Linked DNA regions of Arabidopsis thaliana. The main gene of each other region encodes a partner of the protein of the gene in region 3 in a complex. Each region holds a gene or a part of one and is shown on either strand. Other genes may lie near its edges. A codon is read from its position in the direction of its gene.

Region 1 (8,662 bases), on a different chromosome or scaffold from region 3:
CCTGTTCTGTTTCAGCTTCCATCTCCTCTTTACTATGTGCTCCAGCATCTAAATATTCATGAAACAAGAAGATTACTCATATAAAATTAGATCTTTATGGGAGAAAAAGGAACAATTTGTGATACACAGAGAGATTACTCAAATCTAATTTCATCCAATTGGAACTATAAGCTCAAATGTTCCACAATTAGCAGAATACTAAATCTCATAGGTGAGTCAAGAAACCTCAATATGGTAGTTACCTAACACGAACAGAAAGATTCATCAATTGAAATCTGAATTCTAAGTAGAAAGAAAGGAACAATTTTTGTAAGAAACCTGGGAAGCCACCAGAGAGAGAAGGAGAAGAAGCAGCATTGGAGACGATGAGACGGCGAGAGGGTTGGCCGGAAATCTGACGAGACATCTGAAAATGGGTTCTAGAGGAATCTGAACTAAACTTGTCGCTGAGAGATAATGTTGAGAGAGTCTGCTTTGGTTGGTTCAAAAAGAAGATGCATGTGGTGTTTAAATTCATTGTTGCTTCCTACTAATCAGACAGAAGAATAACATCAACTACACAAAAGTTCTGACATTTTTGTTCTGTTTTTTCTAAATTAAACGGCAAGGTTAGATGATTCAACAGTGTTTTGTCTTTGTTTGTAAAACAAATTAAAAAAAAAAATGGTGATGAATTCCTGACTTCTCATTCTCAGTTCTCACCTACACAATCTATTGGACAAAAACTAAAGATCATTGGATGAACAAGAGGACCTAAACGTAAAAAGCCCACTCCATTCGTTGCCACTTGGCTTCTCAGTATTATGGGCCGCCAAGATTAAACTATTCCATGTTTTGGTATTACAATTTGAAAGTTTTATTTTTTTTACTGCTTATTACCAAACCGGTTCACAGTTTCACACATAATATCAACATGACTGGTTCATACACCTTTTACAGGATCACTTAACACAACACACACACACACACACACACTTGATCCCAGACTTGAATTGAATCTTGCTTGGTTGTGGAAAAAAGCCCAGGACTAGCCCAAACCAGATTATTTTGTTGTTATGAAACCAGATTGGTTGGTGGCAATAAAAGCCCAGGCCTAGCCCAAACCAGATTATTGTTGTTATGAATACCTTACCTTCTTTCTTTCTTTTTTGTCAAGTATCTTACCTTCTTTCTAGGGTTGTTATTATAACTTTGAGTCAATTGCCTTGCCGGAAAACAAAATTGGCGCTGTTTTCACCGTCTCCATGGCCAGTTCTAGCAAGGAAGTTAATTTATGTGGTTTGTTTTCAGTGGCTCTGAGCTACTATCTACTTGGCTGTTGATTTTATTTCTTTTCTTTTCCATTGATCTGCTCTTCTTTTAGGTAAGAGAAATCCGGAAGATGATGATTTGGAGACCAAACCGTTTCTCAAGAAACATAAGGACGAGGAGAAGAAAGTAACGTCGGATCACTCCACTTTTTTTTTTTAATACATACACCACTTATGTATGTATGTATGTGAATGTAACAGGAGGAGACACCGGAAGGACTTGCTGATAGCCTCCAGCACAAGTCTGATCAAGCTAATTTAATCTCTCTCAAGGTTTAATATTGTAATAAGTTTTATTATGTTCAAATTAAGCATCTTGTTCTCCAAAATCTGTTCCAACGGCTACTCGCTTAACAGGAGGAGGAAAGTACTGTGGAAGGACGTGATGACACTCCCGATTTTGTTGAGGTAGCTACCTCTCCTTATGCAATTTTGTTTTGTCCTTTTCGTCATGCTAACACAAACTTCTGCTTGGCTGTTAAATTCAGGAAGCTTCCGTGATAAAAAAATACGCTCTTTATGGGCCGTATCCCTCACCGAGCCCCATTATCACATATCGTCGCTTTCTTCAAAGATGTTGGAGAAGTTGTTCATGTTCGACTTGCTATAAAACGAGATGGTGGGCGTACTGGCTCTGGCTTTGTTGAGTTTGCTTCTCCCTATGAAACAAAAAAAGTGAGACCAGTTTTTTTTTTCTTTGAAAACTTGTGTATAGTTAGTTATATGTTTAAACGTATCCAAGGTTATTTTCTGACGTTTTTTTCACTCTAGGCACTGGAAAAGAAGGATGGAGAATGTTTGCTCGATCGCAAGATTTATCTTAAAGTGCCTAAGCTAAGCTCTTCATTGACTCTTCCTACGTAAGTAAACATGATTTTTCCACGTTTTGTAACTGATTGCTAGACTTTTTGATACAATATCACAGAAGACTAAGGCTTTTCATTTTTTGATTAATTAGGTATTGCATAGATCACCAGGTTTGGTAAGGGAACAAGACTTTTTTTTGAAGTTTTTTTGTATACATGTAGAGATCACTAGCGTTTTCCATTTTTCTAGGTACCAAGACTTCCTTCCACGACAAGAAGATGAGACACCTCCCGCCGATTTTGCTGAGGTACCACCCTACTGCCCTCATTATCTTCAAAACGCTCGAAATGTTTACTTATTTTCTGGGGCTGAATCTTGCTAGCTACTTTTTCCTTGTTTCCTGCTAACACACTTGTTCCTGTATAATGCACAGGAAGTTCTCTTTGTTGCCAATCTCTCCCCCCAAACTAAGATATTAGATATGTAAGTAGCACTCCCACTTTTCTTCTCTGAGCAAAGAAAAAGTAACTCTCCCATCACTCATATTTTACCCTCCACTTTTGCAGCTTCGGTTTCTGTCAAGATGTTGGAGAAGTTGTTAGTGTTCGACTTATTGCAAACCATGAGGACAAGCCTGTGGGCTGTGCCTTTGTTGAGTTTCTTTCTGCCAACGAAGCAAAGAAGGTGAGACTGGTTTTGTAGTCATGATGGACGATTTTAGTATTTTACTAGTCATTTTGAAAATTAGTGTATACAAACTTATGATGAAAAACATACTACTAGTTTTTTGAAAGCTGGATAGCTGATTAAATCTTTTTAATACTGTAGGTGCTGGAAAACAAGAATGGTGAATATTTTCATGGTCATAAGATCATTTTGATGAGAGGACATGGTGAAACTCCCGATTTCGCTGAGGTACCTCTTCTTGTTGTCTTCACAATATGTCAGGCTCAGCAGAAACCTTTAATAATAATAACAGAAATCTTGTGTTTTTTTTTTGTGCAACCTTAAGTCCTTTTCTTCTTTGCGTCGTGCTAACTCACTTGGCTGTTAAACGCAGGCTGTTGCCACAAGTAAAAAAAAGACGCTCTTTGTTGCCCATCTTACTCCCCAGACTATAATATCAGATATGTAAGTAGCACCTTAAGATTTCCTCTTTCGTTATTGGAGCAAGTTTCTCATGACTAATATTTTATCCTCCACTTTTTTACAGCATCGACTAATTGTTAACCACACTGGCAAGCATGTGGGCAAGGGATTTGTTGAGTTTGCTTCTGCTAAGGAAGCAGAGAATGTGAGAGTTGTTTTTCTAGTAATTGATGAAAAGTAATGTATACAAGTCGCAGTCATTTGATTAGTTAAACCGTTTATTTATACTCTAGGCGCTGGAAAAGAAGAAGGGTGAATATTTGCAGGATGGCGAGATTTTTCTTAAGGCGGCTAACATAGCTCCATTCCCTCCACCCAAGTAAATTAATTTTCCATGTTATGGAGATTTGTTGCTGTCAACTTATTGCCACCACAGAAGACTAACACTAATATTATATTTCTTAACTAGGTGGTGCGTAGATCACAAGGTTTGGTAAGGAATTTTCAACTATTTGCATCTTGAGGGTTTGTTATCAAGAGCACATTGGGTGAAGTTTTTGGTATACATGTAGAGATCACAAGGGTTGTTTAATGTTCCAGGTACGAAGACTACCTTGGACAAGAAAGAGATGAGGCAGCAGTGGAAGGACTTGCTGAAACTCCCTATTTTGTTGAGGTACGCGTGTTGTTATCATCTTCAAAATATGTCAGGCTCAGAGGGGAAATGCTCAAGTGTTTGATAACAAAACTGTTACCTCCTTAGAGCCATGCTAACACACTTGGCTGCTAAATACAGGAAGCAAGAAAAAAGACGCTTTTTGTTACCAATCTCCCTCCTAGAACTAGTATACAAAGGATGTAAGTAGCACCTTTAGTTTACTCTTTCGTTCTTGGAGCAAGTTTTTCATGACTGATGTTTTATCCTCTTCATGTTTACAGGTTGTATTTCTTCCAAGACTTTGAAGTTGTTCGTGTTCGACTTATTGTTGACCAATCGGGTAAGCATATGGGCTGTGGCTATTTTGAGTTTGCTTCTGCTAATGAAGCAGAGAAGGTGAGTAGTTTTTATAGCAATGATGAAAACTAGTGTATACTTACTTATATGATGAAATTGTTTTGATGAAATATTTTTATACTGTAGGCGCTGGAACAGAGGAATGGTAAAAGTTTGCGCTATCACAAAATCTTTCTTGAGCTGGCTGAGATAGCTCCATACCCTCTCCAACACATGTACATTGATTTTCCATGTTATTGCTCTAGTTTTGATGTCATAACAGAAGATTAACGTTATCATTTTTTGTTAATTAGGTACAAGCTTGCAGAGAAGCTTTGGTAAGGGATTTTTTAACTACTATTTTGCCTTTAAGAGATTTTTTGTTATCAAAGGCAAATTCGGTGAAGTTTTTCGTATAAATGGGGAGAGATCACAAGGGTTTTTGATACAATGCAGGTACGAAGACAACCTTCTACGAGAATCGAATCTGAAGCAACAGAAGGCAAAATCCAACGGATTCTGCGGTAAGAAGATTACCTTCTCTTACGGGGACGACTGCTAGAAGATGAAGAAGCTCTCTTTTTACGGGGATTAGTGTAGACACTGAAATTATTATCCATAGTAAACTGAAAATTCAAAAAGGGAGTACGGCTTACAGGTCGGTCTGATTTCGGTTTACCAAACCGGTTCACAGTTTCACACAGAATATCAACATTACTGGTTCATACACCTTTTACAGGATCATTCAACACAAGTACACAAAACATAGGCAAGAAGCTCTCCATTTATCATCATCCCCTCCACTGATCCTTCTTGTTCCGAACTTCCCTCATTGTATCAATTGGCGACTTGCAACCGAGTTTCTCCTGGAAAATAACAAAGTTAATCTCGATATACGACAAGAAAGTAAAGATCGATATCAACAGTGATAGCTGATAAAACCGAATCATGAATTGTTCAAGAAGATGAACCAAATGGAGTAATAACCTGTATCTCTGGCTTATCAACACGCATAAATGGATTTGTTTCGAGCTCTTCCTCCAGTGTTGAAGGGATTGTGGGAAGATCTGCTTGGCGCTGTTGACGGGCCCATGCTAACTTCTGTTGTATCTTCCCGTTGTTTGGTTCCACAGTTAGAGCAAATTCCAAGTTCTTAACGGTGTACTGAGAACCATAAGAAATGAATAGCGGATTATTCAGTTTATAGGCATCCATTTTTATGAGTTAAGAACTCAAAAGACATAATGAAGCTGTTGATTTTTTTACCTCATGGCCGCAGTAAACCTGTGTCGGTTTAGGTAATGCAGCCAGAGTCACACACAACGACTGATACATCTGCTCAGCTGTCCCTTCAAAAAACTTCCCACATCCAGCAACAAACTGTATAAAATCAAAGTAAACACAGCTTAATGTTTAACTCATAACTATCTCCATTTAGACATTTACAGAGATAAAAGATCTACGGAGAACATATAGGGTCCATGGTAGGGAAGAACAAGAGGATTCAGCTTAATGTTACCACTTACAAGTGTATCTCCGGTGAACACGGCTGGGTTTTCTCCTTCTTTTCCGTTCACATAATAACTAATGTGACCCTTGGTGTGACTGTAACAAGTAGATATATCAGAGGAATCAGCGATGACAAGAGAAAATGACTGAGTTAAACATCAAGTAGATTAGATGCATCTAAATTCATTGGAAAAAAAAAAAAAAAAAAAAACAAACCAAGGAGTGTGGAGAGCCAATATGTTAATATCCTGACCCAAAGTCAGCTTGTCACCATTATCAACCGCATCAGTGCAACCCTTCACCTTATCCAGAGAACCTCCATATACTTTGATATCAGGAACCAACTGCTTAATCTTCTCGTTTCCACCGGCATGATCCCTTTGATCATATCAAGCCACCAATCAAACAATGAGTGTTAAAATAAAAACGTCGCCTCAAATCCAAATTTCATCGAAGACAAAGGCAACCATCATATGGTACATATATAATAAATCTTGCATCTTCAAGAGGTGAAACATTAATGCAGAAAGTATCAGACTTTAACAAAGAATCAGACTCACGAAGATGAATCTCTAAGTCAGTTGAAACTGATAGTAGGAAAAAGCTAAACACTTGATCAGAAAACTGAGAGATTTAACAATAGACTTGTACTAATGTTAATGTCTAGGACCGGAATCTAGCATATGTCGATATCACTGAGTAATAAGAACCAACAGAGAATCTCGGAGATGAATCAAATAAGATAAGTTACCAGTGACATAGAGAGAAGTGAGGTTTACTTACCAGTGATGATGCGTAGTGAGTACGAACTTGATCTTAGCTTGGTGCTTCTCAGCCGATGCGATCACCTTCTCCGGATCAACTGGATCCACAACCGCCGCGTCTCCGGTGCTCTCATCGATTATCCTGTTTTTTTTTTACGAAGAAAGAATCCTAAACTGATGATGAACCGAGTCAGATTAAGAAGCAACGAAATTGAAGTAGGATATCAAAATGGCTCACAGATAAGAGTAGTTGTCTTGCAGACAAGGAACGTGGAAGATCTTCATCGTCTCCTTAGATCGATCGTCCTTCTCCTCCGGAACACTAGCTGTATCATCATCATCATTTATGTCTGGACTAGTGATTTATCTATTTCGGTTTACTCAAACCGGATCGAACCGAAACAAATCAGGATAAATTTTGCAGCCGGTCATCCGGTTCAATTGTAATTGTAACTGAACCGGAATCGGATAAAAAACATAAGCTTCGTTGAGAATTGTTTATTTTAGGTTTTGGGGGAGATTCGTTCTCGTACTGTGGATTGTTGTTGTTGGGATTATCTGGGAAGAGAAAAAGAAAATGGGGAAGCAGCCGGTGAAATTGAAGGCGGTGGTTTACGCACTTTCTCCGTTTCAGCAGAAGATCATGACCGGTCTCTGGAAGGATCTGCCGGAGAAGATCCACCACAAGGTCTCTGAGAATTGGATCAGCGCCACTCTTCTCGTTACCCCTGTCGTTGGAACCTACTGGTACTCTATCTCTCTTTCTATCTCTCTCATCAATCGATTGGTAAAGGAACCTTTGGATCGAGTTCCGATCTGGTTGATTGTTCTTCGATCTGTGTCATCGGTCTTGTGCGGCGCATATGGATATAGGGTTCTTCGTTTGTGTCATAGGAACAAATGAGAAATGATAGGATTTAAGTTAGTTTGAGATGAGTATTAAGTGGAGTGTAGTATATAGAGACTCTCAGCTAGAAAAAGTCTTCCAGGTATCAAATTAGTATTGTTGATGAACCACTCTGTGGAATTGCATTTCAAGATGTTGAGGATTTAAATGGCTTAGTCGTAATCATTAGCTGATTAGTGTGGTTCTATTAAAACTGTTGAGTTCTTGCTTGTGAAGCTATTAGTTACCTGATCGATCTAAACATTACGGGTGCTGCATATTATGGTCTAGTTTCTAGTCATCTTTTGTGCTTATTCTTTCAAATACACACAATGAATGCAGGTATGCTCAGTATTTCAAGGAACAGGAGAAGCTTGAGCACAGATTCTGAAGCATGAAGTCACTCCTTTTCTACAAGAACCTGACAGTTTGAAGTAATTTCTTTTGTTTCAAGCCTATAAATTTCACAAAAACTCTTGTGGGAATCTTCTGAGTCAGTTTTTCTGAAACTCTTTTGCTAAATAAATGTTTGGGTTTCATGACAATGACTCTTGTTGTTCATCTTTCTTGATATATGGTATGAAAATTGGATTGAATCGAGTAATATATTGATCCCTCAAAACAACTATTAGGCAAAATCAAACGCTGCCTATGTTCCCTTAAGACATCAACTACAAACAACTATTAGGCAAAATCAAACACTGCAAGTCTGCAACCACTCCTACAAGGTTTGTGATGAACAGAGTCGTTGGTTGGACTAGAAATGTTGTCCATTTCATCAAGTACAGTTCAGCGGAGTCATTCTCTTCGTCTAAGGCTTTTGAGGTAACTGTGAAGTTGGTGTCGATACCGGCTAGGACTTTAAGTAGACCTTGGAAGACTGCAAATTAGTGATTTATATAAAACTACACGATTTGCCGAAATTTATTTCACTTTTGTGACGCAAGATAAAATTAAGCAAAACATAATTTATTTCAAAACGATTAATATAAAATACCAAAATGTCACAAAAATCAAAAATAAATAAACACTCCCTCGACAATACTGATCACTTAACCGGTTTTAAAACCAACAAAAGGCAATCCTTTAGTTCTTTAAATAGTTTTAGATAGAACCGACGGAAACGGCAGCTTTGATGAGTAAACCAAAGAGAACAAAAGGGTTAGAGAAGAAAGGAGAATGGTCGCTCTCCAATTCGTAAACTTGGCTAGGTGGCCACCGTCTTATCATCGCGTCTTGCTGCTCCGGTTTCATGACCCGGTCGAGTAACGTCTTGATGTACACGCGCGGCACTTGCTCCTCT
Region 2 (11,219 bases), on a different chromosome or scaffold from region 3:
ATCCTGCAGCATCTCAAATCTTCAAGTTAATGATCACCGCATAGTCTAAACTATATTAGATATAAGATATGGGACTAATGAGGGGTGACCTTATACTGAAGACCAGACTGTGTTTCTGTATAATCTGGATACTTCATTTTTGTTTTGCCATAATCCTTCCCTTTAAGCGCTGGCACTGTGAATGCAAGTAATATACCAAGAAAAGAATGTGGCTTTAGAAAAAAAAGAGGCTATATCGATGATTTCAACAATCACGCACGGATAAATTAACTTCACCTAAAGAACACATCTTTCTCTCACAACCAAACTCTTAACAGTGGACAATCAAACAATGTTCCAAATTACAAATGCCAATAACTTTACTTAATAAGGCACAAAGCAACAACTTAATCGAAATGTAACCCTGAGAAAGATTCTCTGCCCTCCAAAAAGAAATTGAAAATTCTTACTGTCAGCAAATTGAGAAGCTGATGCAAAGTCTCCATCTTTAGAATCGTATGACAATGCTCCAATCAACAAACCAACAGAAGAAACCAACAACTTTCTGCGATCAAACTCTCCAGAATTATTAACACATCCACAATTCCCACCTGTTTTCAAAACTGAAGTTATAATTCAATTCACTGTTGAGGAGGAAACAGAAAAGTAAAACTGTAGAAGCAAGCCAACCAGAAGAACGAAGAGGAGCGAAGTCATCTGATTGGTCAGCTAATCGAGCAGCCACAGTCGTCCGGCATCTCTGAGAATCAAAATGAGAGATTCAGTGAATAAAAAGGAAGAAGAAGAAGAAACAGAGAGATGGTGCGGCGTCGTACGGTGGTGGAGGAAGTTCCGGCGAGCGCTGTGGATTGAGGGAAGCAGCCAAAGGACGAAATTGACGCCATTAGAGTGAAACTTAAAAAACTGATTTTTTTGTACGTCTAAAGAGAGATGAGAGATAAAGTCTCAGCTTTTTATGTAGAGAGGCTTCTAGGAACAATTGTTCATATAATCCGAACAAAGAAGAAGACAAGGACACTTTTTTACTCGCCAATTGTTTTCAGTGAAAATGTAAATTACAAATACGGTAAAAAGTAACAAACTCTTCTGAAGCATCATCTTACAAGAACAAAGAAAATAGAATAACCCATAATGTGGAACATCAAGCAAAATCCATCATAACCACTTTAGAAAGCATGCATAAGGATTGAAGAACAAAAGCCAAAGGTTCTTCTTTTTATTTTAGCGTAACCAAAAACATAATGATGACTCATTTCCTCAATGGCTGGCTAGTTTGAGAGTGTTGGCCTTGTCTTGCAGTGTACCGAGCAGACTCTCGAAACTCTTCTTGAAGGAATCTACTCCTTCGTCTTCCAACTGTTCTCCTACTTTGTTCCAGTCTATTCCCAGCTTCTCTAGTGCACTGTAAATCCCTTCTGCTTCTGACACATTCGCATCTATTGTCCTCTTCACTATTCCATGATCTGCGAATGCTTCCAGGGCTTGATCCGGCATGGTTGATACCTAAATCACACCCACAAAAACTATGAATATACTTCCAAAGCGTTAATACAGCCTATTGACTTCAACACAAACAAAAAGATGACTTACAGTGTCAGGTCCGATGAGAGGAGCGACATATAAGGTGTCAGAGTAAGCTGGGTTCTTTACACTTGTTGATGCCCAGAGAAGTCTCTGTTTCTTGGCACCTTTCTTTACCAGAGCTTCCCATCTTGGGCCAGAGAATTTCTGCTGGTATAGCTTGTATGCTAATGCAGCTTGAGCCACAGCCGCCTGCAAGAGTAAACATATCATGTGTCATAAGCTAATACTCTACTCACAGTGGCTGGTGTAAGATCTCAGCGATGAATAGAGCTTTACCTTCCCACGGAGATCTAAGGCTTCAGGGGTACCAATTTGCTCAAGCATCTTGTCCATGAGAGTATCCACCCGACTGACAAAGAAGGAAGCAACACTGGTAACTCTTGAGAGGTCATCAAGTCCAGACGCCTCGAGGCCATCCAAATATGCATCGATCACTGCTTCATATCTGGCGATTGAGAATATAAGCTGAAACAGAACAGAACATATGAGAAACGATTTAGAAAAGGTAACATCAGTGCATCCTTGGAACACCCTTGAACTAATCTAGTTTCAGGTTTAAAACGCCCAAGAAATCCAGTGATCTAGCACATCATCACACAATACATGAATTTGAAGTATTATGACTTATTTTATTTTGAAGTTCTTTAAAACTTGCAATAAGAAACTTGAATAATGAAACATACTAGGATAACTTACCGTGACATTGACACTTATTCCAGCTGCAATGACATCCCTGATGGAAGGAATGCATGGAGCAGTAGCAGGAATCTTAATGTAGACATTACGACGGTTGACAACCTTGCTAAGATATTTAGCAGCTTCAACAGTTCCTTGGGTATCATCAGCAAGCCTAGGTGAAACTTCAACAGAGACATAGCCATCCGCACCTTCTGTCTGGTCATAGATTGGCTCAAAAAGTTTGCAGGCATCCTGAATATCCTTCACCACAAGTTCCCAATACGCACTTTCAATGTCCTTTCCCGATTCCACAAGTGTCCTAATAGTGCATGTCAGGTATACCATTAACATATCAGACAACTTTTCATATAAAGAAGAACTCTAAAGTTTTAATAGCATGTTGTTAACAACCACAAGTCTAAGACAATCACAAAAAGATACCTGAATTGATCATTATAAGCATTTGAAGTGGAAATGGCTTTTTGGAAGATCTGCAAATGTATAAAAAGTGAAGAAGTAAAGACAAATGAACAAACACAGAGCAAAAGCAAAACCAAACACACAAAGAGAGATGATAAAATTACCGCAGGGTTGCTAGTAACACCTCTAACACCACGAGCAATCAACGGGAGAAGATCTGTGACTGGACGGCAAAGATTATCATACCAAGGACTCTGACCTTCCTTCTCATATAGATCATGAAGAGTCGTTCTCTTTCCAGCAGTTCCATTTCCACCAGACACTGAACACCTCACACTGCAAATTAAACAAAAAAATCAGACTTTTACCAACCAAAAAGGGGAAATACAGTTGCTTTTCCTAATCCATCTTATAAAAAATGTTACTTTGAGATTCGTGGTACGTTTCCAGCTAAAAAGATTCAATTTTTGGTGAACCCCAAGAGCGAGAAACAGAGACAAAAGACATGCATCAAATGGATATAAAGACTTACGAGAGGGAAGGTATTGATCGTTGGTTATAACGAAGAGAAAGCTGAGAAGAGGAAAGCTTTGCATTCAAAGCGCGGAAATTGACGAAGGATCTAGGTAAGACGGAGGAAGAGGAAGAAGATTTGGAGTCGACGCAGGTGGCGCGGGGAAGATTAGCGAGATTCGAAATGGTTGCCATTTTTTTCGTCGAGGGAAATACGAAAGTGTTTTTTCTTGGTTTGATCGATCGGAGGATAAAAACAAAGAAAGGGGCTTAAAAATGGGGTTGGTGAAGTTTTGAGTTAGGTCGGGAACGCAAACGACGAAACTATATCATGATGGCGATAGATGCTCATAGTTGACCATTTTCTGTCTTATTTTACATTCTAATTTCTTACAATTTATCCAAATGTTAAAACAATAAATAGTTATATACTAGATAACAAATTTATTTAATTTAGATAAATGTGATTTTTTACATCAGATGGTTTTAATAAACTTTCTCTAATGTATGATTAATCAGTCTGAAATTAGAAAACAATGAATAAAATAATAAGAGATAGAGCGGTGTCTTATGATAAACACGAGAGGTTGCTTAGTGAGGACCTTTGGCTTGTAATTAGTGTGTAATGGCCGTTGTTAGTTTGCAAGGGTCGGAGAAGTCACTTCCCATATCCCAAAAGGAAAACAACTTACAAGAGATAAGTCACTTCCCATATAGTTCATGGCCGTTGTTGGTGACCAAAACAAACAAGATTTTAACATTTTCATCTCCCACAATGGTTTTTACCCAAATCAAACTTTGGCTTTTGTGTGTCAAACATTTTTTCTTAACTAAAAAAGATTAAACAGAATAAAATATTATGTTTTTGTGTTCTTAGCCAATCTAGAAAAAATCTAGCTATGCCACTTTTGGATGATTGAATATTCATTCACGGGATGTCTTACGAATACAGTTTGAACTTATTCGGTTATCTTCCTGTAAACTATCAATCAAAGCTGATATATTACCTTTTGTTGTTTGTTTCTACGTTGGTTTTTCTCATACCTTTAGTTTTTCTTTTATGAACGTTGAGATACTATCGAAACTCAAATGTAAATACAACTTTTTAATTGGAATGACGATGTTTAGAATTATGAGATACGAAAGGAATCTCACTCATACATAGGACAAATAGGCATGTTAAATAATAAACACAGACTATGAACATAGTCGTCTTTTACTAGCGATGGATAAACGAAGATTGAGTATACTTCAAACAAAAATCACAAGTTTGTATTATTCAGCAAAAACAAGTCAATCTTGCTCTAACATGCCGGAAAATATTAATTAAAAGAAAAAAAGAACAAGTGAAGATCATCATTCAGATCCAGACTCTTGACTGTTGTGCTTTTATTAATCAACCGATGAGTAACTTATTCTCTTCCAGGAAGCTGTAGGTTGGTACTTCCAGGTTGTATGGTGCAGGACCTTTCCTAATTCTTCCAGATATATCGTAATGTGATCCGTGACACGGACAAAACCAACCACCATAATCACCAGCATTAGGCAAGGGGATGCACCCCAAATGAGTGCACACTCCAACAACCACTAACCATTCTGGATTCTTGACCCTAACCGAGTCTTCTTGTGGGTCCCTCAGGGATCCAACATCCACACTATTGGCCAGCTTGATGTCATCTTCTGTTCTTCGCCTGATGAAGACGGGCTTTCCACGCCACTTGACTGTCACGGTAGTTCCTGGTTCTATGCTCCCTAGGTCAACCTCAAGGGATGCAAGGGCAAGGACATCTTTACTTGCAGACATGCTCACAATAAGCTTCAAAACAAGCAGGCGGAGGACAGAGGCATAAACAAACCTCCCACCCGACAAGACAAAATAGGCGAATGCACGCTTGCTAGGGTCACCAGGTGGGTAACGCTCATGGTTATGGTCATCATAGACAATCTTTGAGTTAGGCGTTTTGACAGCTTCGACTGTGGCTGGGACTTCTGAACCAAAACCTATCTCATTTCCTTGAGCAAGGACTTGAGAAGAGAAGCCTGAAAATAGCATGAAACATTAATATTTCACATCAAAGGCAAACTTTATACTTGGTCAAGTGTTCTACAAGAATAAGAATAAGCCACAGGACTACCACAATCAAGATGTGACCATTGATGTATAATCTTCTAAGGAAAAACAAAAGTACATAAAACGGATTCCATGAAGTATGAGATCCATCCAAACAATTCAAACCATCGTATCAAACTCGGGGAGTGGAAACTTAAATACGATAATCTCCATAAAAAAAACAAGAGAACAAATTCAATGATCAACATGGAAACAGAAGAACAAAAAATTGGAATCTAGAAGCCAATGTGAATCACACTATGGATAACGCATTCCAATGATTTACAAGCAAGGAGCTTTAGTCATCAACCAAAGAATTACATCTAAACAGGTCAATCCATAATCCATCAATAAACTCAAATGTTCATTTCCTTCTGGACGAAAGAATGAATCAGAGAAGCCAAGTATACCAAATTCATCCAAACAAATCAATAATAACAAATTCAGTGAAACCTTAAATACTAAAACCAACGTAATAAACCAAGAGAAAAAAATATATTGATCAGATGCTGTATATTACAGAAACGCTTAAAACACAACAAAATTTCCAATGCTAAGAACAAACAAAGCTCTTTGGTTAAGAAAACATAAATTTCAGAATGCAAGTTCCTCAGCATGCCTTTAAACAGCTATAAATCCTACAAACATAGTATACAGTTAAAACATCCATGTCCCTAACAATGAAGAACTCAAAAGGATTGATACACAAGATCAAATTTCAAAAACCAAGAAGCCAGTGGTGAATCATACTATGATTAACGCACCGAAAAGAGGAAACTTTCCTAGTAAAACAAAGGATTATCTCAGAACTGAACAATCCACACGAAAGAAGTAATCATCAAATGCAATACAAATCCAGCAAGGAGAAGAATGTAGCCAAATGGTACATCAAGCTCATGGAATTCAAATCAGATGACACGTTTGTTCCCACGGATCATTGCAGATACAATACTAGAAATCTCAATCATTCCCGTGAATCATACAACCAAAAAAAGAAGACCTTTTCAAAAATCAATCAATCAAATAAAACTGCAAAGAACCACCGAAAATGAAAAATCAATGTAGAGAGAGAGGGAAAGGGTTATAAATCGGCAAACCTCTGATAAGGCTACGGTGGTAAGATGAGAGATCTGCAGAGGGGAGGGATCTGGGAGCTGAAGAGGAGTCGCCGCCACCATCGGAAAGGGTATGGTCACGGGAGACGACGAAGGAGGTCGCAGTCGAAGATCTCTGCGAGACAGAGAAAAGCCTCCTCCCTGCTACACGCAGCATCTCTCAGCTCAAATGTGAATCTAGGGTTTCGCTCTAGCTGAACAGAGAAATCCTCAGGTTTGGGACGGCCGATGCAAAACAAAACATAAGAGACTACTTACTAGTAAGTCCCTTAAAAATTGTCTTTGAGAAAAGGTCAATTTGTTTTGTTTTTTTTGGTTTTTGCGTATTACTTGATATTTTTTTACTTCAGGATTTTGATGGCATGGTTTTTTTTCTAATTTTAATTAATAAAATCTTTTGGTTTTACGATATAATTTTTTTGTGTGTGTGTATTTGTAAGATAAATTATTTTATTTGTATAAAAATCGTAATTTTTAATAATAATAATAGGGGGTCTATACTTGGTAAAGGATATATTTTGTTGTTGTAATGTTTAAACAAGATTTCCAACAAAAAGACTGTTTTACATCTGTGTGAACTTTTCAATACTAGAAGAAAGAGCTAGAAGGACATCATCAAAGAAGTAGTCATCGATGAAAACAATCTGAACAAGAAAATTAGGCTAAGATCCACAACCAGAATATGACATCTTTCATCAAAGTAGTAGTCTCGAGGTTCACAATTGGATTTCTCACTATGGAAGAGAAGGTTTATGGCTTAGTTGAGAATTGAAGGTCTTCGAAATGTCGTCTCCAGTAAGAACACGAAAGTTTTATAACACACCTTGAACCTTACCAAGTTTTTGTCTCAATTGTGATAATGGCTACAGACTTTAAGGAAAGGAAACTCTCTTACAAACGATATGTTACAAAATTACAAACATAAGAAAAATAGGGATGATACTATTCAAAACTCTTTTCAAATAATAAACAGAGACTATGAAGTATGAACAATGTATTTTCACCAGATGAGACAGATACTAAGTCATACAATGACAAGTTTGTATTATTCAGCAAAACAAGCCAATTTTTGCTGAGCCCAAAGTGTGAGGAAAGCGAACTTGCACGCTAAAATGCCGGAAAATATAAAAACAAAAACAGATTTAAGATCATCCAGACCATGACACTCGGACTGTTGTGCTTTATTCATTAACCAATGAGTAATTTATTCTCTTCCAAGAAGCTGTAGGTCGGTACTTCCAGGTTGTATGGTGCAGGACCTTTCCTAATTCTTCCAGATATATCGTAATGTGATCCGTGACACGGACAAAACCAACCACCATAATCACCAGCATTAGGCAAGGGGATGCACCCCAAATGAGTGCATACTCCAACCACGATCAACCATTCTGGATTCTTGACTCTAACCGAGTCTTCTTGTGGGTCCCTCAGGGATCCAACATCCACACTATTGGCCAGCTTGATGTCATCTTCTGTTCTTCGCCTGATGAAGACGGGCTTTCCACGCCACTTGACTGTCACGGTAGTTCCTGGTTCTATGCTCCCTAGGTCAACCTCGAGGGATGCAAGGGCAAGGACATCTTTACTTGCAGACATGCTCACAATAAGCTTCAGAACAAGCAGGCGGAGAACAGAGGCATAAACAAACCTTCCACCCGACAAGACAAAATAGGCGAATGCCCGCTTGCTAGGGTCACCAGGTGGGTAACGCTCATGGTTATGGTCGTCATAGACAATCTTTGAGTTAGGTGTTTTGACAGCTTCGACTGTGGCTGGGACTTCCGAACCAAAACCTATCTCATTTCCCTGAGTAATGACTTGAGAAGCAAAACCTGAAAATAGCATGAAACATTAATATTTCACATCAAGGGCAAACTTTATACTTGGTCAAGTGTTCAACAACACCAAGTATTAAGCAAAAATATTTTCAAGAGATAACACAGAAGAAAGGAATAACACTAGCAAACATTTAACATTAATGCATAGAATAACATAAGATTATAAAAACGGATTCCAAGAGATAACAGAAGGTGTCATCCAAACAATTTTCTACCATGATATCAAATTCAGTGAAAACTAAACTAATCTATCTAACGCAAGATCCAAGGAAGGAACTTCAATGATCATAAATGCTTAAAACATAAGAAAACTCCTAAGATAAGATTGCAAACATAGCCCTTTTGGTTAAAGATATGGAATTCCAGATTCGTTTACTGATGCAAGTATCTTATATGATGTGCCCAAAGACGATAAAACATCCATTTCCATAATAATGAATAAACTACATGTCAAAATCGATTATCTCATCAAAAAAGGATTATCTCAAAGCTGGTCAATTCATATCCGATCAATCACTATTCCAGCAAGGAGAAGAATGAGACGAAATGGTACATCAAGCTCTAATACACATCATAAGAATTCAAAACAGATGACTTAATTCCCATAGATCATCTCGCAGATACGAAACTAGGAATCTCAATCATTTCCGGACTTATACAAGCCCAAAAGAGGTGACTTTTAAAAATTTATGAATCATTCAATGGATAACACCAGAAATGAAAATCAATCGAGAGACAGAAAGAGTTGTAGATCGGCAGACCTCTTATAACGCTCCGGTGGTAAGAATTGAAAGATGAGAGATCTGCAGAGGGGACAGATCTAGAAGCGGAAGAGGAGTTGCCTCCATCGGAAAGGGTATGGTCACGGGAAAGGACGAAGGAGGTCGCCGTCGATGATCTCTGCGAAACAGAAAAAAGCCTCCTTCCTGCTACTCGCAGCATCTCTGCTCAAATGGGTTAAGACCGATTCTAGGGTTTCGCTCAAAGCAAGAACACACAATCGTAAGGTTAGAGATGGCCGATGCAAACAAAAAGATTAGTCCTTTACCAAAAAAATGTTTTTTTTTCTTCTTTGCGGATATTCCTTTAATAGTCTTCGAGAAATCGTCAATTTGGTTTTTTTACTATTAATACTGAAGAGAACAATGACGGTGTTCTAACATGATAATTATGTAGCTTCGTGGCATCTTAATGTTCATTCGTGAGTATGAATAAGCTACTTGGGCATAGTTTGTAGATTTATTTACCAAATTAGCCCAACGATTCAAATCTAAACAAAAACAATCTCATTGAAATTTGATGTCTCGAAAAGCTTTATTTCGAAGCAAACAACAATATGTAAAAAGCAAATGACAAAATTCAAAGGGAGAGAAGTGGCCAGCTATTATATTGTTTCCCAGGAGGGTCCATATTTATTTGTCAATTGGTGGCATTCATCACAAGCATGTTTTCTTGGGGGAAATTTCTCTCAAGATTTTCAGAGGTTGTTGAAGTCAACAGGTTCACGGAGGAGCCTCTCCATCTGTTGTGCCCTTGTCCTGATTGACATGTCCAACACCTTTTGTTGGAACTCTACGATTAGTCCACCGTAGATACTTGGATCAATCTACAAACACACATTACCACCATTGACATAGATGCTTATATCCATTTTATGGGTTACTAGAAAATCACAAGCCTTTGATGCATATCTGATTACATACCTTTTGTTCCACAGTGATTTTCTTCCCTGCTCCAATGATCTCCTGAAGCGTCTCAGTCAGTTCTTTCTCCTCAGCAGGGGGAAGCGGCTGTCCAAACCATATGATTAAATCCACAATACTGAGTTTATGGTTATTTAAGAGATAACAAGTATTGAGACTAAAGCTTACAATGACTGTGGTAACCAAAACTTTGACATCTCCCCTATGTGCGTTTGTCAGCTGCATAAATTTCTTCACAATGGCATCTAGGTTCTTCAGCTTTCCATTCTCAGCTAACAAAGCTGTTACAGAAAGCAAACAACTTTTAATATCAGCACAACAAGGTCAATCAAAATCATAAAAACAAGACAGTTTCAAACTTGAATTACATACAGAGGAAGTTCTTAGTGGGTTCGGCAAACTTTGCTTGATCACAAGCATCCCTAATAGCAGCCAATCTTGTCCCTCTAGGAACAGAGGGATCCTTTGTAAACTGAGCAAAAATAGGAGCTGTCTTCATTGCCTCAATCATCTCAGAAAGATCCGTCTCAATCTTTTCCAAGGAATTCATTTTCACAGCTGCAATGTATAGCCATGAAGCAAAGTTCCCATTTTCACCAACTAAAGCAATAGGCACCTGAAACAACAACAAGTATAAATCTAGATACACTTCCATTACATATTATACAAAATCCAGCTATCCGCGGTTCATCATTTATGCCAATCAAACAATTCAAGCCATTGTCGCGATTCTCGCATCTACAAAATAATACGATGGTGATAAAAGGGTGTACCTTAACATTAGCGGTTGTTTGAGCAGAAGCAGTTGCATAAGTTCTCAACTGCGATAGAAATATACAAACTTTAAAGATTGATTGATAGCATTCTCAGGAAAATAACAGAGATAGAGTTAAAAGACTTCCAAAACATCTAAAGCCGAGCAATGTAAGCGAGAAAACACGATAATCCCCATTCTATACTGTTATCAATCCAATTAGGCGATTGGATCGACTGATCTCGTAAGAATCGACTCCGAACAAAAAATTGGACTGAAAAGATTCGATTTTTAAGAATGCGAATTACCGCTGGGAAAAGCGACTTGGATCTAACGGAGGAGACAGAATCTGTTACGGCGATGGTCTTGAAGAAGGAGATCCCTGATCTGAAACGATTAGCCATTTTTGTTGCAGATAGATTTTGATTGGAACCCTAGAAATGTGCAAAAGTCGCTCAGCTGCTTTGTCGAGAGCAAAGAGATGAAACTGGTCAGAGGAAGAAA
Region 3 (11,510 bases):
CGACTTGCTCTGACCAAGACTCCACTTTTTGCTCCGTCCATGGAGCGTATGATTTTCCTTGAATGTAGATAGACCAAAAGAGGGAATGAAGAGATAGGAATAGGAATTATAGTACCATTGGAAAAAGGGGCACCCGTGGGAACATCTCTACTGACGAACCATTTCAATAGTACGGGTGCTGCCGTGCCACAAGGCACGACCATAAAAATAATAAAAAAGAAAAAGTTATGTAGTTGGACCATCTGCTCTATCCGTTCGAGTTTGGCTTCTCTAAAGAAGAGAAGGCGCTAAAAATGAAAATGTTCGCAAGGCATACCGAAAGGATACCAATGAAGCCGACCATTAATGACTAGTTCGAACACCAGGAGCGGAAGGAGGGACTTGAACCCTCAACCTTAGCCTTGGCAAGGCTATGCTCTACCATTAAGCTATTTCCGCCAGCTACGGTAGTGGCGAAGCACTACTGAGCAATTCACGTATTACTTGATACGGACGACTTCCGTTTTTCCGCCGGACCACGGCTCTTGACCTCCGATCGAGCTACGAGCACGAGTAGGTAGGCGGCATCTGTCTTTTTTTTTTTGAAGTTGAGTCATTTCCTTTCCTAAGACGGCTCCTCTTATTCTACGATAATCCAAGCAGCAGCTGCCCGAGTCCGCTCGGAACCAGTCGATTCCTGAGCCTGGACTCAAGGTCTCTCCTGCCTGCGAGTTTGCTGCGAATGCTGCGAGTAAATACATGAACGAGACGAGTGAGTTAGTCTCCGAGCGAATCCGGCGGGTCTTTCAAACATCCAAGTTGCCACTTTTCAGCTACTTGGAATGCATGAGACCCCTGCATTTAGGAATCTTAGGTTACCTCCAGCCTTCTGAAGCGAGTTGACCTTCTGTTGACCTTATATCTGTCTACCTTATATAATAATGAATATGAAAGGAAAGCACTAACTCCTGAGCTTGGGCAAAGTTGGCTAATCGATTTAGACTATTATAATAGAATAATAAATCCGCGACTTGGGAAACCCTTTCTTCATTCGTTTGGCGGGAAAGGAGAAACCATTTCTTCATTCATTGGCGAGAAAGCATTTCGTGCCTTCGTCCTAGGCTCGGCTACTTCTTTCTCAAATAAGACAAAGATTGCACTAGACCTTGAGCCCGGGAAGACCGCTACTAGCCCTTTACTCTATTGGATTGATTTGGTCGAGACCCGGTTTCTCCTTCCTAGAAACCTGAAACTGCAATCCGCGAACGACCGCTTTCTTCCTTATTAGCCTAATATCTTACTCTCGGACTACATTTGTCTAAGAGCAGTTGAGGAATCTGCAACTGAAAGAAAGGAATCATGGAATCTGAACCCAAGGTTAAAAAAAGGGGAAAGAACTACGGAAAAGGTTCTATCACGTTAATCGTCACCCACTTACGCTCCCTAGCCATCTCTGGAATTGAACTTCCTCGGAACAGCTACAATGCTTTGAATTCCTCTGTGCTTTCACGAACAAGCCGAATAACCTTCTATTTCGGAAGAGGCATTCTGATACCATTCACCCATAGATGATATTGAGAATTCTCAGGTTGAAAGCCCATCAACTTAACGCTATCTGGGGCCATTCAGAAATTATAATCCACGAAAGGAGCCATCACCGGACTCGAGCCGGGAGAACCTTTGAACAATACTGGCTGCCTTTGCTCGTTGACGACTAGCCTTTGTTCTTTGACCGAGATGTCGACCTGATCACTTTTCTCAAATTTCAGCAACAACAATAAGAAATAGTAGAGCCTTCAACGGGACATTCGAACGCAACAAAGGGTTTCTTGACCGCCTTTGAACGACAACTCGATAATAGAATAGAAGACTTTCTTCGTCGACTTACTCGCTCGCATGACAGCATTTAGTGGTCTCTTCACTGGCTTAGGCTATATTGGGGAACGCTCGGCTACAAGATTGAAAAGACCGATATGATAGCTCCACGGCCGGAGCCGATACTTCTCTCTCAAACCATTACCTTTCCCCGCCACATTCTTTTTTGACGGAGAGACGATTCAAGAGGATCCAGCTAGGCTGAAAGCGGAGGATTCTTTCTTTACCTGTGCCCCGGACCCAAGCTCGGCTGAAGGCAAGGAATTCTTTCTAGACTGACACGCAAGCTAGGCTGAAAGCAACCCGGGTTACAGCAATGGGGATTCTCTCTTCAATTAGAAATGATATTATATTGGTGACTACTCCCTTCAGATTGAAGATTTGAAAGATAACACGCCCACCGCCGGATACTCTTCACGTGCTGATACCTATATTGGATTGGTGAACAACCCTGGAGTTTAGGACATTTGAAACTATAGAAAGACCTTAGCCGCTTTTATGATATAGTCCTGAAGACCTAACTCTTAGAAATGACCTACTAACTCATCGACAAAGAAAGGACTTCGCCTTGACCTTCTGACCTAGACGTCGAACCAGTGCCTTGGATTCATCAACAAAGGGATCAAAGGAACTCATCTGTCCCTCCAAACGGAAATCTTGGTTTTGTAATTTGATCTCTGACAAAGGGAGAGGGAAAGAAAGACCAATCCGTATCTTTGAAAGAAAAAGATTCTCAGAAACGCTACCACCGAACATCGACTTACTCGGCATCTTCGGATTCAAGCATTTCATTCGTTCGTTGGCGCAAAAGCCTCGTTTGGCGGGAAAGCATTCATTCGTTTGCGGGAAAGCAAAAGCGTTCAGCATTGACTTCCTAAAGCGACTTCTTAGCGTGCTTCAACAGCGCCCAGATAATGCCTTGACCGGAGCCGGAGGGAGACCTAAACAGAAGAACGACCTCGCAGTGGCAACATAGCCCATCCTCAACTCATACCTCAGATTTTGAACCATACTTTGAGTCCTCAAACTTTGAGATGGACTGGACCAACACTCTTCTTTGAGATGGAATTCCCACCACTCTTATTTGACATGAACTGTAACGCTACTCTTTCAAAGATACCTAACAACCTTAGCTGGCATTGATCACTCTTCCTTCCCAATCCCTCCATTTAGAATTGCAAACATCCCAACTTCCAGAGCTACCTATGAGCCAAGGGCGGAGGGAGATATATTAGACTGATCAACTTCAAACAAAACGACCTTCCTGGACTCGCTTTCATCTCCTTCTTTGAAACGACTCAAATAATTGAGTGGGCATTGGGAGCCTTATTTAATGGTGGATTCCTGAGCTATGAATGTCTCTGAAATCGTGATGTCAAAAAGGAATGATATGCGATTATTAACTTGCTTCCTTCCCTCTAATTTTCATGCAGTAGTTGAATTTTTGCACTCTTACCTGGATGCGATTTTCCGCCTTGAATAGATGGAGGTGTTTTCCACCTTGAATTGAGAATTTTTGCATGCTCGATGGGATTTCTGCCTTGAATTATGATACATTTATTATGAATTTTTGCATGCTCGATCTGATTTCCTTCGCTGTATGGGAGTGCATAGGCCTATTCTAGCATGGGGTTTCTCGGGGTAAGGCTTGTGCTTTTCCTTCCATATAAGACTAGCTATGTGCTCCCTCGGTACGCCTGTATTCCTTTCGTGGATTGGAACCTACGTACTGTTGTATTGTAGCGTGATGTTTTCCCACTGCTTTCTGGCTTGACTCACATAAAGTACGTGCGTAACTGGCACTATCATGTAGGTGCGAAATCTGTCTTCTCCTATGTCTTGTTCTCCCAGTTTGATTCCTATGTTTCGAAGTCCAGCTAATTAGTGAAGGAAAGTGGTATGGATGTTTGGAGCTCAATCCATCGAATTCACTCGCTTCTTTGCGCTGCGTTGTAGCTCTTAGATTATTGGGAGGAGGTCATTTCGAATGTTTTGTAATTTGGAATCGTTTTTTCTTCAAGGCACGGCTTCTTGAATCGTCTTTGTCTTGTAGAATGGTTGTCATCTGGAATCTAACTAAATAGTTAGTTAAGAAGACGCGTGCTTTGTTTGGTTTTGATCTGGAATTTCACTATAAGATAAGATAAGAGTGAAGTGCTTTGTTTGGGCAATCTGCCTCCCTAAATCTAGTGGAGGTCCCGGTCCCGCCGCTCCTGTTTGTAATGGGGCCGCTTTGTGCCAAATGTGTAAGTTGTTTTTTCAATCCGTTCTAACTGTAATAAGAGAAGAGGGAAGTCCGTCTAAAGAAATTAGTGAAGGAAAGTTATATGGATGTTCATTAGTTCAGTAAAGTGTTAGTAATGTTGCTGGGAGTAACCCTTTGATCTGATCTGTCTTTGTACGTGTTATCTTGCGAGGCTGTCAGGTTGGCTTGTGAGGATGGGGAGAAAGCGGGCCGAGAATCTTATGTCAAAAGGACCAAGGATGATCTTTTCGGAAAGGAGGAGTAGGAGGAGTCAGCTTATTCTATAGATACTGTAAAAGCCAACTCATGTTTCCACTCAATTTTCATTACGAAGATGTATCACGTCAAGATCCGTTGCTCAAACCGAATCACGCCAACGTTATGGAAGTTCCTGGATCGTGTGAAATAAGAGTAGTACCAAAGGCACCCTATAATTTCATAATAAAAAATGGAAAATTGGCTATGGAGATTCCGCGCGGTCAGAAATTCATACAGACACAAAGGGGTTCGACAGGAAAGTCCTTTCGATCTAATCCATTCTTGGGGTCAAATAAAGACAAAGGATATGTAAGTGACCTAGCACGACAAAGCACTCTCCGAGGGCATGGAATGTCTAATTTTTCGGTCAGAATCTCGACAGTAATGTCTCTATTAGATTTTCCGGTCGAAATACGGAAAAACTCCATTCAATTCTCGATGGAAACGGAGTTTTGCGAATTCTCCCCGGAACTGGAAGATCATTTCGAGATCTTCGAACATATTCGGGGGTTCAATGTGACTATTATCACTTCGGCCAACACACAAGATGAGACTTTACCACTGTGGAGCGGTTTTTTGCAAAAAGATGAGGGGGAAACTCAGTAAGATGTCGTAGAAGCAAAATAGTAGAGATCACAAACGTAGATTGCTCGCGGCTAAATTTGAATTGAGACGAAAGCTTTATAAAGCCTTTTGTAAAGATCCCGATCTTCCTAGTGATATGCGGGACAAACATTGTTATAAGTTGTCCAAGTTGCCAAGAAATAGTTCCTTTGCACGAGTCAGAAACCGATGTATTTCCACGGTCGCCCTCGTTCTGTATCTGAGTTCTTTCGAATTTCTCGTATCGTTTTTCGTGGATTAGCATCTCGAGGTTCTTTGATGGGCATAAATAAATCGTCTTGGTAGCAACCACCAAACCAATAGAACAAAGAAAGGTTAGCTCCGCAGCTGGTCCACAAGCAAGGTAAGTAAGCCCATTACCAGCCGGCTCCGGACCGAAAAGTAACGTATTTAAAACCCTTATCTTGGATCGGAGATGCGAACGGGGCGGGAATCGAAGTGGGGGACCTCTCTACCGCTTGTGTCTATTTCCTGTCAAGTATGCTCCCCATACATAGACTACGTACAGGTAGTACTCTTGGAAAGAAAGATATAATGCATGAACATAACATTAACTTACGAATGTAACTCCCGACCACTCTTCTAAATATACTAAGGCGGAGAACTCTTGTTCATTGGAGCGCCGTAGTGCGGAGGTTCTTCCCATCATGGAAGTCCGAGTTGGGACTGAGCCTTCCGAATGATAATGCTTTGTTTCGTTGGAAAAACCAACGCAAATCTCATATTGACTTTCTATCGCCCTACTTCTAAGGATAGATAGAGAGAGTTACTTTATGAAATTATCTCCCTTCTAAAGCAGCGCAAGTCGGCCCCCCCAGAACAAAGCCCCTACTCCCGAGAGGTATAAATGACTCGACTAAAAGGAGAGGTATTTATTACTCGAGCACTTGTTGCGAGAGGTCCAACGTAATTTATTACTCTTATAAAAGAGGGAACTCGACTGAAAGGAGAGGTTGTTTACATACTCGACTAAAAGGAGAGGTCCAAATGGACTTCTGTGAATTACAGTGATCCAGTCTCACGGATATGGAGCTTCGCCGGAGATGGCAGGGCAAAACCTGATGGACCTTTTTTTTTTTTTTCTCAAGAGGTGATTTCGAGAATCAACCAACCGACGAGACTAATTCGAGGATGTGTTAAAAGAGAGTCTAACCGCCAAGGCAAGTCCCATGGATAAGCCCCAGCCTCCCTCTCGTTTCACTCTCGTTCCTCTCCTTACAGTCGAGCTCCTTTGTTCCTTCGGACCTCTCGCCCAAATGAAATGGGATGAATCCAATCAATAAGCTTATTGATTGATTCAGAGCGCAGCGAAGCCAAATTCAATCAAGGCAAAGGGGGGCTTACTTTTCCTGACGCTGAGTCATCCTATTCAAATTTAGCTATGCTAATGTAACAGGAAAAGTTTTCACAGATGATATGGATCCCAAGAGATGAGCGAGAACCTCCAATTGCTTAAGGATCGCACTCCGCTATCCCGCTTGGTGGACGAGATCTTCTCTCGGGTCATCCATCCTGGGTTACTGAAGGGTTGTCCGACTGCTCGGTGACCGAATCAGAGAAGTTTTGACCGCTTTCTCTTCTCTCCAGCACTCTCGGACTGATCATCCAATCCATCTTGCTGCGACAAAGCAAGCTTAGGAATGAATCTAAGAAATTTAGGTCTCTGCCCGCTTGAAAGATTCTTCTTTCCTTTTCGGTGAAAGAGGGCAAAAGTGTGTAGGAGAAAGAATTCTAAAAACGTCGACGCTTAATTCGCCCCCTCCATCCTTCAAAAGTAAAAGAAAGGCTCAAATATCAATATTATATATATATTTGAGGATATTTTAGGGCCCTAGAACGCAAAAAAAAGGTGGGTGAACAAGAGTTGTCACGATAGGAAAGAGAAATGACTATAAGGAACCAACGATTCTCTCTTCTTAAACAACCTATATCCTCCACACTTAATCAGCATTTAGTAGATTATCCAACCCCGAGCAATCTTAGTTATTGGTGGGGGTTCGGTCCGTTAGCTGGTATTTGTTTAGTCATTCAGATAGTGACTGGCGTTTTTTTAGCTATGCATTACACACCTCATGTGGATTTAGCTTTCAACAGCGTAGAACACATTATGAGAGATGTTGAAGGGGGCTGGTTGCTCCGTTATATGCATGCTAATGGGGCAAGTATGTTTCTTATTGTGGTTTACCTTCATATTTTTCGTGGTCTATATCATGCGAGTTATAGCAGTCCTAGGGAATTTGTTTGGTGTCTTGGAGTTGTAATCTTCCTATTAATGATTGTGACAGCTTTTATAGGATATGTACTACCTTGGGGTCAGATGAGCTTTTGGGGAGCTACAGTAATTACAAGCTTAGCTAGCGCCATACCTGTAGTAGGAGATACCATAGTGACTTGGCTTTGGGGTGGTTTCTCCGTGGACAATGCCACCTTAAATCGTTTTTTTAGTCTTCATCATTTACTCCCCTTTATTTTAGTAGGCGCCAGTCTTCTTCATCTGGCCGCATTGCATCAATATGGATCAAATAATCCATTGGGTGTACATTCTGAGATGGATAAAATAGCTTTTTACCCTTATTTTTATGTCAAGGATCTAGTTGGTTGGGTAGCTTTTGCTATCTTTTTTTCTATTTGGATTTTTTATGCTCCTAATGTTTTGGGACATCCCGACAATTATATACCTGCTAATCCGATGTCCACCCCGCCTCATATTGTGCCGGAATGGTATTTCCTACCGATCCATGCCATTCTTCGTAGTATACCTGACAAAGCGGGAGGTGTAGCCGCAATAGCACCAGTTTTTATATGTCTCTTGGCTTTACCTTTTTTTAAAAGTATGTATGTGCGTAGTTCAAGTTTTCGACCGATTCACCAAGGAATGTTTTGGTTGCTTTTGGCGGATTGCTTACTACTAGGTTGGATCGGATGTCAACCTGTGGAGGCACCATTTGTTACTATTGGACAAATTTCTCCTTTGGTTTTCTTCTTGTTCTTTGCCATAACGCCCATTCTGGGACGAGTTGGAAGAGGAATTCCTAATTCTTACACGGATGAGACTGATCACACCTGATCAGTGAAAAATTCTGACACCAATCATTTACATATTACACCAAGAATTGACAAGCAGATAAGTTTTCTAGTTTGCTATGTTGATATAGCTTAGATAGGGAAAAGATAACTCCACTATAGAGTAGGGCTGTACTTCAAAAATCAAAAAGGGTCCCTCTCCCCCTTTTTTTATTAAAAAATCAAAAAAGAGGCCCCGCCCCCCAAGGCCTAAGGAAAAAACCTCTGATAAAGAAAGAAAAAATATAGAACTAACCTTTACACTATAACCATTAAGTCAAGTTATTAACAATCCTATACTAAGAGGAGAATTCGGATCAGCTCGGGCGGAAGAGGAGAGGCGAAGAAGAAGACAATAAGCACTCAGATTGGACCAACCTTTCATTTAAGGTTCGTCATTATCTTTTCAATCCTGACTAGAATCAGGCTTCTCTTGAAAAAAGGTAAGGAGTTATTCGATATAATATGGTATTAACCCTAGCGCCTAAGTCACCCCCGCAAGGTAGGAAGAAGATAAAGGAGAAAGTGAACGGAGGAAAAAAAGGCGATAAGCGAACCGGCGGGCGGTAAAAACCACAAAGAATTTATATAGAAAAATAGGTACTACCAATATGAAATTAAGAAAGACATATATACCTGAAACAAAATTCTGTAATGACTATGTGACCATGAAGGGAGTAGTTGATTCGCGTTCCAATTCATTGGCAAAATCCGGTATAAATATAATAATATAACGAGATCGTCGTCTTGACAAAGATGAATAGAAAGAGTGCTTTTTTTTTAATGGTAACAATTCTTATTGTTTTTTTTTCTTCGAAGGAAGATCTTTCTTTGACTAAAAAGGTTTCCATTTTTAATAGATTGTTTGTGGTTGTACCTTTACTGCAAGAATATAAATGACTCGCTATTCACTCGAGGTTTCTGGGTCATAATGTAGGAGAGATGGCCGAGTGGTTTAAGGCGTAGCATTGGAACTGCTATGTAGGCTTTTGTTTACCGAGGGTTCGAATCCCTCTCTTTCCGTACCTTTACCTAATTCACCAACGTTACCGACCGCGCAATACCAATCGAGACCTCTAAGACGAACTAAAGGGATGTCTCTAAGCAGCCAAGGCCAAGAGCAAGCAGGAGTGGTCCTATCCGCCCATTCATTTTTAAGTGACTTATAAGACGTGAGAGATACTCTAAAGTCATAACGGGGAAGGCCAGAGACTTCGTTCAAATGGGGGGAGGTTTTCTCTTCAATAAAATGAAAGGCAGGTATTTTTATACGAAAATTGAGAATTCAATAATAAATGTTCACTTGAGATTAGGTTCGCGAAGAAGAAGATCACAAATGAGATCTTGAGCTTGAAGCTTACTCTCCAGAATCGAAAGATCTCTTATCCCCGAGGCGAGGATGGCTTCATAAACTTTTTTTGCCGAAGGAAAGATAGATAAGGGGTTTCATCCATATTTTTCTCCCATTTACGTATCACGTTCAGAGATTTTAATTAGTTGTCCGCTCTTTCCGTACCTTTACTTACCGACCAAATACCAAGACTACTTACAACAGGTGGTGAGGATCAGCACACTGCGGGAATCTAAGGAATTGATTGCTGTGCATCGACCAATCTCAGAAAGGGAACTATAAAAGAAGGTGAAGATGCACCGAGGCATTTATGAAGACGCATGGTATGCTGTGGAGAAAGGGGTGAAAGGAGTAGAAGCGGCAGGGCAAGAAAAGGATAGTGATAAATGGACAGACGCTGAGAAGAAGAAGTCGAAAGTATAACAGCAAAGCACTGTCAGCAATCGCAAGTGACACATTCAAGGGTGAATCATCCAAAGATGCTTGGGATATCCTACAGAAGGGTTGACAAGTGTAAAGAGATCTCGTATTGATATGCTGCTGGCTTCACGGAGGAAAGAGAGACCATTGAACAATTCATCTGTGCTTTGCCAATGCTGCTCAAAATGAAAGACAAAGACAAAAGTCAAAAAGCTTCTGTTCTGTAGCACACTCCCGGCGAAGCAGCCCTTCGCAAGCCATGAATGACATAGATACCCTTGCGTTTGATGTTGTTGTAGGTCACCTACAAGCGTATGAAATGGAGACTGAGAAGTCCGAGAAAAAGCATTGCTGCAGCACACACTAAGACAACAAGAGAGATATTGAAGATTCAATCGGCAGCACACTGCTTGCTAGAAACTTTGGCAAAGTAGTAAAGAAGAATGGACAAAGTAGGAAAAACCCTTTTACACAGAACACAACAACAAATCGTGATCGTGTGTCAAAGAAGGGAGAACAACAGTGTAGGGATATGGCAAAGCTGAGCACTGCCTTTTTTTAGAGAAGAGACTTCAAATGTTTTTAATGCAAAGGTTGCTTCGCTAGGGGCACACAAAAGCTGAATGTGTGAATACTCCCTTATTGGTTTGCTTGGAGCGAGAGCGAAACAGACGAGGATGATGATGCAGAGGAAGTCTCTGGATTCGTAGCATTTGTGATAAAGATGAGACGCTTCATTCGGACAATTGCTTTGCTAGTGAAACAAATTTGCTGCTTTACTCAAGCCCACACCCTCAAGGGGTTACTTCGTCACCTCCGTCAAACCCGCGTCAAAGCCCCTCGTCAAAGACCTACGTCAAAGTAGGTTGCTTCGCCACCTCCGTCAAACCTCCGTCAAAGGAGGCTGCGGGAGGCTACGGGGCTGCGGGAGGCTGCGGGAGGCTACGGGGCTGCGGGAGGCTGCGGGGGCTACTTCGCTGGGAGTGTGCGCTTATGCTGAAGAAAGAAAGCAGGTCCAGGTTCAAAGCGTAAAACGGTGAAACCAAAGGCTTCTTCAACTCGAAGAAAAAGCAGGAACGGAAAGAACTTTACTTCCTGGTGAAGCAATTTTCAGGATAGAATTCTGCCAGCTTAGGAATCTGAACATAAGCAGTAGAGCGAGGGCATAGATTACTCTGGTCATGCCACCCCAGCAATTCCAAGAATTAATGCAAGCAAAGCATAGGAGTGTGATTTCTCGTTTACCTTCTTTTGCTCTTAGGAATAAAGGTAAAAAGAAAAGCAGTGTGCTGGACAGCACCTTTCCTACGTTTGAAAACGAATTGCCGGTACTCCACTTAGACTTCTGCACCTGACCTAGTGGCTGAAGAAGGATCTCCCTCAAGTGATTTGCTGCTTCCTCCCCGACGTAGGTTTGACGGAGGTATCAGTCTCGTTGCTAAAGCACCTTCGGACCTCTTTTTTCGTCTATTCTTTGGTTAAAGCTAAAAATATTTCTTTTCATTTTGGATCATTCAGTAGCTCAGACTGGAACTTGAGAGCTATAACCTTTTTTCCTTAATTTCTTCCGTTGCCGTATCTTGCATATATAAGATCGAGATATCTCTAGTATTCATAATCCAGGATTTCGCCATACTCTTACACCTTACCCAGATCTTATAACTTATAATAAGATCATCTAGGCTAGGACGAGGC

Evidence for each region.
Region 1: the proteins of AT2G07727 (region 3) and AT3G10860 are in contact, whole or in part, in a cryo-EM structure (PDB 8BEL), measured with the Arabidopsis thaliana proteins. Residues at the interface, in NP_178804.1 of Arabidopsis thaliana: Glu221 (codon at 7,527), Met222 (codon at 7,530), Gln329 (codon at 7,851), Gly330 (codon at 7,854), Trp333 (codon at 7,863), Leu334 (codon at 7,866), Leu336 (codon at 7,872), Ala337 (codon at 7,875), Leu340 (codon at 7,884), Leu341 (codon at 7,887), Trp344 (codon at 7,896), Glu351 (codon at 7,917), Ala352 (codon at 7,920), Pro353 (codon at 7,923), Phe354 (codon at 7,926), Ile357 (codon at 7,935); in NP_001327236.1 of Arabidopsis thaliana: Val6 (codon at 7,066), Lys7 (codon at 7,069), Leu8 (codon at 7,072), Ser44 (codon at 7,180), Leu47 (codon at 7,189), Leu48 (codon at 7,192), Pro51 (codon at 7,201), Val52 (codon at 7,204), Thr55 (codon at 7,213), Tyr56 (codon at 7,216), Tyr58 (codon at 7,703), Ala59 (codon at 7,706), Phe62 (codon at 7,715), Lys63 (codon at 7,718), Glu66 (codon at 7,727).
Region 2: the proteins of AT2G07727 (region 3) and AT5G13430 are in contact, whole or in part, in a cryo-EM structure (PDB 8BEL), measured with the Arabidopsis thaliana proteins. Residues at the interface, in NP_178804.1 of Arabidopsis thaliana: Trp148 (codon at 7,308), Thr151 (codon at 7,317), Val152 (codon at 7,320), Ser155 (codon at 7,329), Leu156 (codon at 7,332), Ser158 (codon at 7,338), Trp170 (codon at 7,374), Gly173 (codon at 7,383), Gly174 (codon at 7,386), Phe175 (codon at 7,389), Ser176 (codon at 7,392), Arg184 (codon at 7,416), Pro268 (codon at 7,668), Met269 (codon at 7,671), Thr271 (codon at 7,677), Pro272 (codon at 7,680), Pro273 (codon at 7,683), Ile275 (codon at 7,689), Leu288 (codon at 7,728), Arg289 (codon at 7,731), Ile291 (codon at 7,737), Pro292 (codon at 7,740), Asp293 (codon at 7,743), Lys294 (codon at 7,746), Val350 (codon at 7,914); in NP_568288.1 of Arabidopsis thaliana: Ile135 (codon at 5,008), Met138 (codon at 4,999), Ser139 (codon at 4,996), Ala140 (codon at 4,993), Ser141 (codon at 4,990), Val144 (codon at 4,981), Leu145 (codon at 4,978), Ala148 (codon at 4,969), Val165 (codon at 4,918), Lys166 (codon at 4,915), Arg168 (codon at 4,909), Gly169 (codon at 4,906), Lys170 (codon at 4,903), Pro171 (codon at 4,900), Thr216 (codon at 4,765), His217 (codon at 4,762), Leu218 (codon at 4,759), Gly219 (codon at 4,756), Cys220 (codon at 4,753), Ile221 (codon at 4,750), Leu223 (codon at 4,744), Phe233 (codon at 4,714), Pro235 (codon at 4,708), Cys236 (codon at 4,705), His237 (codon at 4,702), Gly238 (codon at 4,699), Gly250 (codon at 4,663), Pro251 (codon at 4,660), Pro253 (codon at 4,654).

What each region holds. Positions count from the first base shown.
Region 1 is NC_003074.8:3,392,765-3,401,426, forward strand, and holds AT3G10860 (Cytochrome b-c1 complex, subunit 8 protein), read left to right. Parts: upstream 1-6,810; 5' UTR 6,811-7,050; coding exon 7,051-7,220; intron 7,221-7,701; coding exon 7,702-7,750; 3' UTR 7,751-7,991; intron 7,992-8,047; 3' UTR 8,048-8,162; downstream 8,163-8,662. Other genes in the region: AT3G10840 (alpha/beta-Hydrolases superfamily protein), read right to left, coding at 1-48, 319-517; AT3G10845 (RNA-binding (RRM/RBD/RNP motifs) family protein), read left to right, coding at 1,245-1,278, 1,364-1,437, 1,512-1,583, 1,668-1,718, 2,082-2,170, 2,367-2,424, 2,551-2,600, 2,684-2,801 and 9 more; GLY2 (Metallo-hydrolase/oxidoreductase superfamily protein), read right to left, coding at 4,992-5,066, 5,188-5,364, 5,467-5,580, 5,727-5,805, 5,926-6,087, 6,493-6,615, 6,712-6,758; MES17 (methyl esterase 17), read right to left, coding at 8,464-8,662. UniProt on the Arabidopsis thaliana protein: Component of the ubiquinol-cytochrome c oxidoreductase, a multisubunit transmembrane complex that is part of the mitochondrial electron transport chain which drives oxidative phosphorylation.
Region 2 is NC_003076.8:4,300,823-4,312,041, forward strand, and holds AT5G13430 (Ubiquinol-cytochrome C reductase iron-sulfur subunit), read right to left. Parts: upstream 6,749-11,219; 5' UTR 6,578-6,748; coding exon 6,403-6,577; intron 5,236-6,402; coding exon 4,592-5,235; 3' UTR 4,284-4,591; downstream 1-4,283. Other genes in the region: AT5G13410 (FKBP-like peptidyl-prolyl cis-trans isomerase family protein), read right to left, coding at 1-3, 90-175, 450-590, 670-739, 816-884; TRA2 (Aldolase-type TIM barrel family protein), read right to left, coding at 1,258-1,503, 1,591-1,773, 1,861-2,049, 2,281-2,581, 2,704-2,753, 2,847-3,018, 3,215-3,390; AT5G13440 (Ubiquinol-cytochrome C reductase iron-sulfur subunit), read right to left, coding at 7,609-8,252, 9,020-9,200; ATP5 (delta subunit of Mt ATP synthase), read right to left, coding at 9,736-9,864, 9,962-10,048, 10,130-10,242, 10,334-10,577, 10,735-10,782, 11,024-11,119. UniProt on the Arabidopsis thaliana protein: Component of the ubiquinol-cytochrome c oxidoreductase, a multisubunit transmembrane complex that is part of the mitochondrial electron transport chain which drives oxidative phosphorylation.
Region 3 is NC_003071.7:3,443,997-3,455,506, forward strand, and holds AT2G07727 (cytochrome b), read left to right. Parts: upstream 1-5,537; 5' UTR 5,538-6,866; coding exon 6,867-8,048; 3' UTR 8,049-8,780; downstream 8,781-11,510. Other genes in the region: AT2G07815 (LOW protein: cytochrome C biogenesis ccmF-like protein), read right to left, coding at 15-287, 495-782, 1,054-1,116, 1,418-1,537; AT2G07724 (uncharacterized protein), read right to left, coding at 2,398-2,721; AT2G07725 (Ribosomal L5P family protein), read left to right, coding at 4,406-4,963; AT2G07728 (uncharacterized protein), read left to right, coding at 9,690-9,812, 10,115-10,245, 10,473-10,521, 10,601-10,834, 11,157-11,238. UniProt on the Arabidopsis thaliana protein: Component of the ubiquinol-cytochrome c oxidoreductase, a multisubunit transmembrane complex that is part of the mitochondrial electron transport chain which drives oxidative phosphorylation.